3 linked regions of the Drosophila melanogaster genome follow. The protein of the gene in region 3 interacts with the protein of the main gene of each other region in a pairwise test. Each region holds a gene or a part of one and is shown on either strand. Other genes may lie near its edges.

Region 1 (3,923 bases), 6.4 Mb from region 3:
AATTTATCCGCTGACTCTATGCTTAATTATTGATTATCACAAGGATTATCGCGAATCAATAAAATGCCGCAATGCGTCCGAGCGGCAATGTTGTTAGGACTAAAACAATCAAGAATCATCCGCCCGCAACCGAACGATTTGAAAATTTATCGACGACTGGCCGTTGGTTTTAGTCATATGTGTACATTTTAGTACTTTTTTTTATTACTGTCGTTTTGCGGTATTTTTCTGCGGCCACATTGAGCGCCAATGCGAACAAAAAGGGAAACTTTGATTGCAGTTTTTAATGAAATTATTATAATCTTAGGGTAAATTTTATTAATAATCTAAGGTCGCTGGGTTATAACTAGCTTCGTGCAAGGTTATTTTGTGGCCAAAAGCAAAACTTTGCCATTGTGTGGTAACTACATTGTAAACTTGAGTAAATTGTGTGCAATTCTTGTCGAAGAAACGTTATCTTAATAATTATAATAATGACTCAATAAATTTTGTAAACAGTTGCCCCAAGATCATTTTAAACATATTTCATTTTAATCATTGAAATTCATAAATTTGGCGCCCCATAATGCTTAGCTCGCGACTTTTCTTGCTTTCACTCACATTCATTCGATAATACTCGATAAATTCCTGCTTTCCTCAAATTTTAGACAAATTAAGGAAATCCTATGATACGAAAATACCTTCCAATTTTCATAATAATGGAAACAGCTTAAATCAGGAATAAACACAGAATTATTTAGAAAGTGCCAGTAAATTCGATTCCTATCGGTAACGTTTATTTGCAGTGCCAACTATCGGTAACGTTCAATTGCAGAAATACGTGCAACATTTGATTGGAATTGCTATTTAAATTTCCCAGTTCTCCGCCGCCTAATCCCCATCAGAGTTATCGCCCGGAGTGGGATTTACGGGTCGAATCATCATCCGCGAGCTCTTCGGTTTATCGGTCCCGGTCCGCCAGTTCATCCAGATAATGGCTGGACTTGCTCTCTGGTGGACACCATGTTCTCCATTCAGATTGCACTGTGTGCAGCGATCAAACCACCAGCCACCACCGTAATCCTCGCCACAGGTGGAATCTGCCGATTTCGCGTGGTTCCTTCGCCGATCGTAAGTGCTGAAATCCATCCGATTGTGCTGCTCCAGAGCGTCCGGTAGTGAACCACGGAATTCACCAGCCACCGAAAGCTGATAGTTATAACTCTCGCTGTCTAGCCAGAAGAGTGGATACTCCGCCCAATCCAGCGGTTCCCCTGCCTCCTGCAGCTCAATTCTCAGCTCATGATCGTCGCGGTAGAGAATCTTGTGCGCGAACTCGTTGCCAAACCAGAAGTCTCGGGATAAGTTACCAAAACCCGCGCGATACTCGTCCCAGCTGCGATTGAAATTTTCGTGCGGATCGAAGGAGCCGCCTCTACTCTGGATCACTGTCCAGGCGGGGCCGTCGGTGGCGAAGGCGCAATAACGCTCGTACAAATCACGCTGGACTTCATTGCGCTCCGGAACCAGAAACCTATAGACGCCATCCACCCGGACACCTTCGTCAAGCTCATGGCAATCGGATTTGGCGGGCTGGTAAAAGTCTGGAAAATGTCACCGGGTGAGTCGATGAAACTTGAAAATGATACACTATAACTTGCCCACTTTCGGCTCGTCCTTTTCTTCAGTAAGTTCCTTTGGTAAGGTCTGGCTTGGGGAAGGTTCTTGGCACACTTTAGTTGACCACTCTTTGAGTTCCAGCAAATTCGTAGATATTCTTTCTTCCTGGTTCAGTCGCTCCAGCAACAAATTTAGACGTTCAGATAGAACGGCAAGGGGATCTTCTTTGGAGGAGTATCTTCCAGGTACTTGCACAACTGCATCGGCGAGTAACACCACCTTGCTGAGCACGCGATGCAGATTTATCTCCAAGCCCCTTAGCTTTAGTGCCTGTGCAGCCAAAGTCTTTCTAATCAAGACTAGCTCCTCCAAGGATTTAAAGCCTATATCAGAATTCCCAATCCGATTTAGAGAACCCGTGCTTCCCAGAAACACACAGCTCCAGGCCAGCAGAAAAAGCAATGAAAACTTCTTGAAAGGGAGTCAGTATCCTTAAAGCCGCCAGTGCGTTGTCCGCCCTTACCATCATTTCGATTCCAAGTTCAATCGCCCACTGAAGTCAACTGGTGAAGTCAGCTAGTGAAACTATTCGACACACATGTTGGCCAGATTCCACCATCTGGCGATGGTGGTCCCAGCATATCACTTCTGGCGCTCCATGTGTCATTTTTAAGAATATATAATTCTGTATTTTTGCGGTCCTTAGTTAATCTTCACATTTCTGTTGTATTTCTTTTCAAGTTTTAACGAATTAAACTGGATTCTAGCTTTGCGGTGAAACATACGCAGTAGATAGTAAAAACGAAATTAGAATAAACATTTTCACGGACATAGCCGCGCTAGGTTTCCTTATGGTTGTTGTTTTTTGTTTTTGTTTTTTTTTTTGTGTTTTATAGTATTAATTGCTACAATTAGCCGCTAACGTGTTTATAAGGTAGAAATGAAAACGCCTAAGCAACTAAAATACATATACATACATTTATCGTTCGATCCATTTTCACACACCGCCTTTCGAATTCCGCTCTATACATTTACAGCTGATAAACTTTTTAAAATATAAGAAAAACACGGCCCCAACGCCGACTGATTACTTGCTGGGCTAAAGGCTAATGGTTGGTTAGCTAATGGTTAAGCTTGATCAATTTACAGATAATTGCCTTCTATAGCTTAGTTGTTATATCGTTTGTGTGCAGGTGCGAATACATTTCAAATCTTCAGCTAACTGCTCTCTTCGGCATTTACACGTTAATGTATGCATATGGTATATATTTAAATGTTTTCGTATATATATATATATTTAGATTAGCTTAATATTTTTATCATTAGCGCACTTCGGCTTGAAGCCCAAGTGGGTTTGTTGTGGTGCCTACTTAACCGCTGACCAGTGCTCCAACCGACCGCATCCACCACGTCCACGCGACGTGGTGGGTGCGTTCGATGATTTCTTGATCGTTGGTTAGTGTACAATTATCAGTAACTGCTTAGCTCTATGCGTTTAGCTTGTATTTACATTGTTTCAAGATTTTCGCTTCTGCTTCGTGTTTGTTTTGTTGTGTACTTGTGTGTAGCGTATCTGTGTTTTTTTTTTTTGTTGTGGGCTCGTAGAACTAAATAACTTAGACGATTGCTTAGAGTACGCAATGCTGTTGTGAGTGCAAACCAAACCGTTTGAAACAAATTAAAATTTGTTGGTCTGCTCCGGCTGATTTGTGGGTGTGTGTGTGTTGTGGCTTTAAAAATTGACAAATCGTTTAAAAGTCTTAAATAACGAAAACTTTGGATTTTGGTCTTAGATGCGTCTGCTGCGAACACCCTCGGTCCGTGTCTTCCACTCCGGATCGTTGGGATCGTCGTCCTCGAAGGGATCCTCGCCCATATCCTCCTCTAGCGCCTCCGGATCAGCGAGATAGGCATCGATCGCCGAGTCGTAAAGCTCATGCTCGACATCTGGTGTCGACGGCTCCTCGTCATCCAGCGGCGCCAGATGATGCTTGGGATAGTCGTCATCCTCGTCTTCTAGCAGCATCTCTTCCTCTTCCGGCTCAGAAATTCCACCTTCATTTGCCGCATCTATTCCGTTCAACTTCGCCGCCGCAGGGTGGCCATTGAGCTGGCCATTTAGCTGACCATTTGGCTTAATCTTGCACTTGCTGCTGCGCCGACTGCCGCTGCCTCCTGTGAAGGTGTTCCCACCATCACAGTTCGAGGATATCGACTTGCTTTTGGCCCGCTTTGAGACGGTCATTGACCTGGGCGGCGCATATGTCTCGGCTAGCAATCGCTGGTAGACCTCGTCGGAGAGCGGAAAGTTCAAGGGCTCAAAG
Region 2 (4,314 bases), on a different chromosome or scaffold from region 3:
TTGCCCAGTTCACTGCACCCTTGCAGTTTTGATAGTTTTGGCAGATTAGGAGAGACGGCAAATGTGCAATCTAATATCTATTGACAATTGCTGCATCACACATATTGAAAATATTATCGATAAGCCTTATTAGTTTTTGCAGTTTTGCAAGCAATACAGTGCGGATCCTGAGAGGTCTCACTGTGTCTTCAAGGTTCGCCTTTAGAAGTCAAATGGCTCGAAGAAGTCTAAGCGGAATGTAGAATGTAGCCAAATATAGAACACCTACCACAGATCGCATTAGTTTCTTTCTTTCCTACGATATTTACTCCTTCAAAATCGATGCGCAAATGGTTTTTAAGGACCAGCGCCTGCGCAGCACTTGACCAAATTCAGGTAACGGCGAATCTTATTTTATCCACTTCAACCACATACGATAGAAAATATTAGGGGAGAGATGTGTGCGTGACAATTAGATAGTGGATTGTACATCCGATAGCTCAGGTAAACAACAACCAAACATACCTAAAACTTAAACAACTCTTTAATTTAACGTAAAAATAATCGATGACATTTTATGAGCGAGTTCCGAGAAAACGTTTAATAAATTATTACCCCATTGGGTGTTCGTGTTCGCACAACATAAGACTCTCATCTCTACATTTTATGAGTGAAACATTCGTTTGAGTGAAAGTCGATTTCCAACCCTGTTATGATTTGGCGGGAAACTTAAATACTTGGATGAAATTTTTTGTATAAAGAGACATTTCATATTTTGTATTTGTAGTACTTAAATTCTAGTTTTCTAGTTTGCAATGCCTCGTTCATCGTTATTATGGCCTGAGTGATTTCGAACTTTCTTTAGAGCCGTATGCTTAGTTCTGTTTTTTTGAAGACTTCAATGAGATGTTCATTAAATCGTAGAGTGACAAATGCAGGAATATCAAATGACGTAATAGTAGAAGTCAAGGGTTTAGAAATGATTTGCCACGGTGCTCTGTTGTTCGCCGCGGTTTACTCGCAGGTTGCCCATGCATCCCTCAAACAGGATGTCTGCGATGGCCTTTCGTGCCAGAATCCGTTGCGTGGGGGACATTTCCTCGTACTGGATAGCCCAGGATCTGGCCAGAACTTCGGAGGACTCGCTGAGTTGCATGGGTGCAGTTCCTCGTTCGTTCTCGGGATCTGTTTGAATCGAGGATGTGGGTTCTTTCGTTTCCAATGAATTTCCCAAACTATTTTCCTCTTTGACTTCACACTGCCCTTCTTCCGGCTCTATGATCTCCAATTTTGGACTGAGCAGGGAACCCTCTTCGGATTGCGGGGCGGTCGGTTCGGACTGGTAGTTGAAAGCGTTATCATCCTTGATCGGCCAATCACAAACGCTTTCCGTGTTGAGATCTGGATTTTTCAAGGGGTATTTGTCCTATGAGGTACACAATTTATTTATTTTTAAGTATCATTCAATCATTGAGAATGTAATCTTACATCCTTTTCCCTGCGAAAATCTTGCTTCTGTCTGCCGCCCCGACCTTTTCTGGTCCTGTGCTGGAAGGTCTCCTGGGTGAGGAGAAATCCCATGTAGTCGTAGAACCAGAGCGTCGGCTTACAGAGATCGGAGTGCAGCCCCAGCTCCTTCTGCTTGAGGATTCGCATCTGCTCCCGCCTGTAATTGGTGCGAAATATGTTGATGCGCCTGCCGACTTCTGTGCGCGTAGCGTTCGGCTGTATCTCCCGTAGTTTCCTCTCCAGCAACTCATACGCCCGGTTTCGCAGCTCCTTGTTCCGGTAATTGAGGTGGTGGACGTCCCACAGCTCCGGCATTCCCTGATAAAGGGCCAGAAACTCGCGCCAGAACTGCCGTTTGCCCGCACTAAACCGATCTGGCAGTGCAGCTGCCATCTGCCAGCACAGCATTCAGAAAGATACATTTAATTACCATATCCATTGGCATATAAACATAAATATTTACTTTTTCTGTTGTTCAAGCCAATCAGCTGTTGTTGATTACAGTTGGCCAGAGTTGCCACTTCTAGCGTCTAGTGTTGGTAAACACCTCACATACTCCCACTGATTGTTGTAGTTGCTCTGGATCTGGATGCTCATATATGTATAAACTTATTTCCACCACCTGACGACCGGCGTTATGCTCTCCTCAAGCGACAATCACAAACTGAATTGATGTAGAGCCGAAACGGGCGGGTGTGTGTGCATGTGTCTCGATTGAGTGATTGATTAGCCGACTGACCCGATGGGCATGTGCATGTGTGCGTGTGGAAATGCACAATAAATCATTTGATTCCCACATACTGCTTGAAAACAAAAACGTAGCTGAATCCGATTTTCTTATTGTATTAGTTTTAATTATATGGATTAAACAATGACTTACAGCTCCCCCGCAATTTAGGTGCACGTGTGTGCGGGAGAGGAAAGCAGCAAATATTCAGACTTTAACTAAGGGCAGACCTGCGCACTTACCCATCTTAGCCCCAATCAAGATTGTCGGCATAAGGAAATCATCAGCAAAGTATGAATTTATTTTAACTCGCTCTCCAAAATTTCACACTGATCAGGGAAAATTTTAAAATACACTCTGAATCAGGGAAATTCTCTCTTTAACAAGATAGAATTCAATGATTGACCTCTTTGTTCCGTTATTTTCATTTACATGCGCTTTGTCTCTTTCTCTCTTCTGGCTCGCCTGTGTGTGTGTGTGTGGGTGACCTCCCGCCCGGCAAAAAAAGAAGAAGAAGCCCAACTAAGGGCAGACATGCGCACTTCGAAAAAAAAACAATTAGCGCGTATATTTAGCCGACTTTTTGTTCTGGCGAGAATGTGTGGAAGGAAATGTAGCTGTTATAACATACAACACAGGTCAAAATAATAGGGTTACAGTCGGGAGCATAGTATAAAATAGTTCCAACAGACCAATTGACAATTGACATTAGCTCATTCATCACAATATTTTATAACCACATCAAATTTACTCACTAGAAACTTGGTTTGATTGCGTTTATTTGGTTCGAATACAAATTATGTTCACCTTAGATCTAATGATTGATTGCATCCGACCGATGTGCATCTTCTAGATGCATCAGTTTGCAAAGATTACACTCTTTGGCTGCAGCTATTCCTCCTCCTCTTCGTTCTCCTTCATGTGGCGCTCACTGTTTGGAGCATTCTACGGCACATTGTCATCCATTTCGCGCATCACTTCATCGGCTCGTGTGATCAGCTCAATCAGCCGGTAGTTCTCCTTGTACAGAGCAAACTCCTCGAGTAGCTTTAGGTACTTGCGTGCATCGGCGCAGCTGATGACACTGGACCCACTTTCTTGGCCGGATCCCCCATTGTTGTTATCGTCTTGGGCGGACTCATAGCGACGTTTGGTGCCCTGGCGAGGATTCAGCGAGTTTTCAACTGCCGCAGGCGAACTCACCTTTCGCTGCCGCATCTGCTCGATGTACTCCATCTCGTCCTCCACATTGGCCGCCAGAACCTCGGCCAGCGAGGTGACACTGGAGCGACCATTGTTCGCGTCTTCATCGAGATCCGCTGGGTCTTGGTCCAGTTCCGATTCCAGCTCAGCCTCTGGCTCCACTTTTATGTGCACTGTAGGCGGAATTTCAAGATCCTTTTCCCTTTGTGCTCGGTCATCGTTCTCCTGGAGCTCCGCCTCGGGCTGCTTCGCCAGGAGCTCTTCCGGGTCCTTGGGCTCCACTTTGATTTCCTTTTCCTGCTTGATCTCTAGTTTGGGCGGCGGTACCACCGGTCCTTTGTCCTGCTGCTGTGGGGCAGGAATCTTGGTGATGCTCTGAGCGAGCGTGGCTAGTGGTATGATGGTCATGGTCATGGGCTGTCCGCCCGCTTGCGTCGGAACAATGGGTGTGGCCAGGAGAACTTTTTGAGTGGTGCCTGGCGGTGTGTTAGCTTGGAGGGGCAGTCTAACTAGAGGCGGCAAGGGCTTCAGAGCCCTGGCAAAATTTAGTTCGCTTAGTGAGGGCTTGACATCAGGCTCCTCCTCCAGATCATCCTCGCCGCTAATACCGCCACCGTCGACATCCACCTCGTCATCCTCGTCTTCTACATAGCTGCGGGGATGGCTGCTCACCGGGCTGCCCAAGCTGACCTCTTCGTCATCCTCCTCGCCGTTCCGTGGCCCACTTTCCGGCATGCTTTCCGACATGACGTCCTTGACGATGTCCTTGATCTGCACCGAGTAGCCCTGCGTGTAGCCTATCTTCAACAGTCTGGTGTCGCTGTGTTGGATGCTGTAGGTGCGTCTGAACTTGTCGCACCACTCCTGGTGCGGAAAGAAATGTGCCAGGTTCATGG
Region 3 (3,795 bases):
ATCAGGGCGCAGCAGCCCGTGGAACTTAATGCCATGGGCTACCTGTCCATTTCGCTGGACACCTTTAAACAGGTAAAATGCAAACACCACGTATACTTTATATGACATTATGTGAATTTCGCTTTCAACTGCAGCTGATGAGCGTCTCCTACCGGGTTATAACCATGCTCATGCAGATGATTCAGTAGACAGCAAACACAAGCACGGAGTTTGCAAAATCGGGACGCTTTAATCGCACTACGCTAGTAACTATCTTTCTATATAACTAGATCACTTGGGATCCGAGGGCAGCTTGAAGCCCACCAAATCGGCGGTATCCCTTACGGATCTCTCGCCCCTTCCGTGATATTCCTTGTAGAGCTCCAAGTACCGGCGCTGGCTGGCTAGGTAGGTCAGGTAGGTTTGACCCAGGAAAGTCGCTTCGTTGCGCGCCTTGCAGAATTGTTGTTCCGTGGTGGCGAACTTCTTGTATTGCGCCAAAATGTAGCGCGCGGCCAGAGAGTCCTTGATGCAGCCATTTGGAGATGCCTGGCGCAATTCGTGCAGCAGGGAGCGCAGCACCTTGGTTCCCGCCATTCTAAACACAAAATATTAATTGCATTTGCAAGAAACTATAAACAATCAACGACTTACGTGATTTTTAAGAAAATTCCAATTGCTTCTGCCGAACAGCTGTTCTCAACAGAGTTGCCACCTAGTCATACAATGAATATACAGTGATCACTCTCACAAATTGACACTTTGAAAAATAACACTGGATCTTATTTTTTATAATTATCAATAAATCTGAAAAATCATCAAAAGTTTGACTACGAGCACAGTAAAACTCTGTGACAAACGAAATATTTAAAATTTATTTATTTTAATTATATTATATTCTCACTTTTGAAATCGTTTTGCTATAAATGTCTAAAAGTCGAACGGTCTGATTGGAAAACAAGAACAACCAATAAGTAAAGTACACAATCCAACTGGACTGTCAAACTAAAAATACAAACAGTAAATCCAGTTGGAAAAAACCAATTTATTTTAAAAGTTATTTAGCAGTACACCGAACTCGTTGCGTGGGCTGTTTACTTCCTGGGCTTGCCAGCGGCTGGCTTCTGGCCGGGCTTCTTGCCAGCGGCTCCCTTGGCGCCAGCACCACCCTTGGTGACCTTGCCGGCACCGGCCTTGGTTCCCTTGGCTCCAGCAGCGGGCTTCTTCTTGGGCTCGGGCTTGGCCTTGGGGGCCTTCACCGGCTTGACGAGCGCCTCGCGCTGGCTCTTCAGGGCCTTGACGATCTTCTGCTCCTCGATGAGGAAGGCGCGCACGATACGCTCGCGCAGGCAGCTGTGGCACAGCACTCCACCGTAGGTCCTGGACACGGTCTTCAGGCGCTTGGACATGCGGGGGCGCTCGCTGGGGCGGGAGGGGGTGATACCCTTCAACTTCTCCTTGCACTGGCCGCAACGGGGCACGGTGGGGTTCTTCTTCACATACTGGTAAACCAGACGACCACCGGGCGTGCGAACACTGTAAATTGCAAATGTGCGTTATTTTTCATATTGGTGAGGTGTATTGCAGTTGGATAGTTACATGCGCCGCTTGTTGGAGCGTGTGTTGTAGGACAGGCGTCTCCGGAGCGTCAGACGTTGGACCATTTTGCTGTTGTTGTTGCTGCTTGTCGTGGCGATTCGTGGGTTACATGTGCAAAAGCGGTGAAAATCATTATTAGTTTGGAGTTACACTAGGGTGGGTGCAGTTTGGGCTGCATTTGGTGGTATATTTTCACAATTTTTTCACACATTTCGGCGAATTTGCGTGAAATTGTTAATTGAACACGTGCATACCTCAAAGAGACGAAACTAGAAAGAAAGGTGGCAACCCTGTTCGCGCACGACGTGAACTTGGCTGCGCTGCCCACTGTACGACACTTTCGAGCACTGCAGACCTTGCCAGATTGCCATGAAAACATGGGCTTATGGGGGTTGCAAATTATTTATTTTTTGTTAGAAAAGTTAGGATTTTATACACAATTTAATGCTATATTCTTTTGGTTAAGTATGCTTTGGCTAAGTATATGCGTATTAATATGAGGTTAAATAATGCGTTTTATAAATATTGATCCCTTTTACTACGCCCCTGCGATAACCTGTTGTTGTTTTGCTTGCGATGAAATCTGTTATCAAACCGCGAAAAGATAACATTTAATTGCAGCAATATGAGCAAAACTAGCAACAGTAAGTGTTTCTCAAAATTTCAAAGAGATCCACTTAAATATTTCTTATTTAATAGTCATGCGTTTGGCGCTGCTGCAGCTCAAGGGTTCCAAGGACAAAGTGGCCAATGTCCAAAACGCCGTCACCAAAATCGAGGCGGCGGTCAAGGAGCATAAACCCCGATTGATCACTCTGCCGGAGTGCTTTAATGCTCCATACGGCACCAAGTACTTTCGGGAGTACTCCGAGACCATTCCCGATGGCTATACCTCGCAACAGCTCTCCAATTTGGCCAGGAAGCACCAGGTGTACATCGTGGGCGGAACAATCCCTGAACTGGGCGAAAACGATGCCATCTACAACACCTGCACGGTTTGGTCACCCACTGGTGACCTTGTGGCCAAGCATCGCAAGATGCATCTCTTTGACATAGATGTCAAGGGTGGCATTCGCTTCAAGGAGTCGGAAACGCTGTCCGCAGGCAATGATTTCACCATCATCAACGTAGATGGCCACAAGATTGGCATCGGCATCTGCTACGATATTCGATTCGAGGAGATGGCGAGGCTCTATCGCAACGCAGGCTGCGAGATGATCATCTATCCGGCTGCATTCAACATGACCACTGGTCCACTGCACTGGGAGCTATTGCAGCGATCCCGTGCCAATGACAACCAACTCTTTGTGGTCACAACATCACCAGCCCGTGACACAAGCGCCGAGTATGTAGCCTATGGCCATTCCATGGTGGTGAATCCATGGGCCAAGGTGCAGCAGAGTGCCAGTGAAGGCGAGGAAATCGTGGTGGCCGATATAGATTTCTCCGAGGTGGAGCAGGTGCGTCAGCAGATTCCCGTCTTTGGGCAAAGACGTCTAGATCTGTACGCCACCGAAAGGAAGGCCAAATAAAGGATTGCTTTAAATGGGAAATGGGAAATCTTCAAAAATTCAAGAATCTGTCGTTTTAAGCACCTTTAAAGCATTGCATTTATGTTATTTGATTGTATATAAAATTTATTAGGCCTACACACACATATAACATTGATTTCTGTCGAAAAACTATTGCATTTTATCTAGCTGCTGATTATCGCAGGCAGGAGTTACTTCGGATGCAGGTGATTGCACGTAGTGGGGTCGCTGGGCCTGGTCGAAAAGTGCTCGTATGGCTTCATCGGTGGCCATCAGGGGCTGACTAATGAATTCCAAGGCCTGGTGGGACGGTAATAAGGTGTACCATTAACTGGATGTTTGAATCACTTTAACTATCGCTGTACTTACCCTAACCGCGTACTTCTCCGCCTCACAAAGTGGACTTGTGCTGGCGCTGGACAACTTTAGTGTCTCCTCGGGAATGCCCACGCCAGTGTGCAGGACCATGCGTTGGAGAATGTTAAGGTTTTCGGCACTTAGGCTGATTACATCGGTGGCGGGCAGGTTGAGGAAACGAATCTTGGCCAGGAACTTCAGTTGCTTAAGCATATCTAGCTGAATTTCGCGGATCTGATGGGTGGCATGAAGCAGTTGCTTCGTTGACTCGTTCAATAGCTGATTCTTCTGCGTGAGATCGGCTTTCCAGCGGGCTAACTCCTCAACC

What was found. Proteins that work in one complex are often made in the same cells at the same time.
Region 1: the proteins of RpL34b (region 3) and CG9593 interact in a two-hybrid assay, tested with the Drosophila melanogaster proteins (one large-scale study listed by BioGRID).
Region 2: the proteins of RpL34b (region 3) and CG3386 interact in a two-hybrid assay, tested with the Drosophila melanogaster proteins (one large-scale study listed by BioGRID).

What each region holds. Positions count from the first base shown.
Region 1 is NT_033777.3:15,800,487-15,804,409, reverse strand, and holds CG9593 (uncharacterized protein), read right to left. Parts: upstream 2,136-3,923; 5' UTR 2,129-2,135; coding exon 2,123-2,128; intron 2,071-2,122; coding exon 1,641-2,070; intron 1,584-1,640; coding exon 871-1,583; 3' UTR 757-870; downstream 1-756. Other genes in the region: nsl1 (non-specific lethal 1), read right to left, coding at 3,389-3,923.
Region 2 is NT_037436.4:679,906-684,219, forward strand, and holds CG3386 (uncharacterized protein), read right to left. Parts: upstream 2,566-4,314; 5' UTR 2,458-2,565; intron 2,415-2,457; exon of another isoform or gene 2,369-2,414; intron 2,289-2,368; 5' UTR 1,952-2,288; intron 1,882-1,951; coding exon 1,468-1,881; intron 1,406-1,467; coding exon 953-1,405; 3' UTR 757-952; downstream 1-756. Other genes in the region: ebd1 (earthbound 1), read right to left, coding at 3,161-4,314.
Region 3 is NT_033777.3:9,399,364-9,403,158, forward strand, and holds RpL34b (ribosomal protein L34b), read right to left. Parts: upstream 1,864-3,795; 5' UTR 1,833-1,863; exon of another isoform or gene 1,660-1,832; 5' UTR 1,644-1,659; coding exon 1,579-1,643; intron 1,516-1,578; coding exon 1,074-1,515; 3' UTR 874-1,073; downstream 1-873. Other genes in the region: Or85f (odorant receptor 85f), read left to right, coding at 1-72, 135-188; CG34117 (uncharacterized protein), read right to left, coding at 271-576; CG8132 (uncharacterized protein), read left to right, coding at 2,204-2,222, 2,278-3,110; CG9356 (uncharacterized protein), read right to left, coding at 3,261-3,410, 3,480-3,795.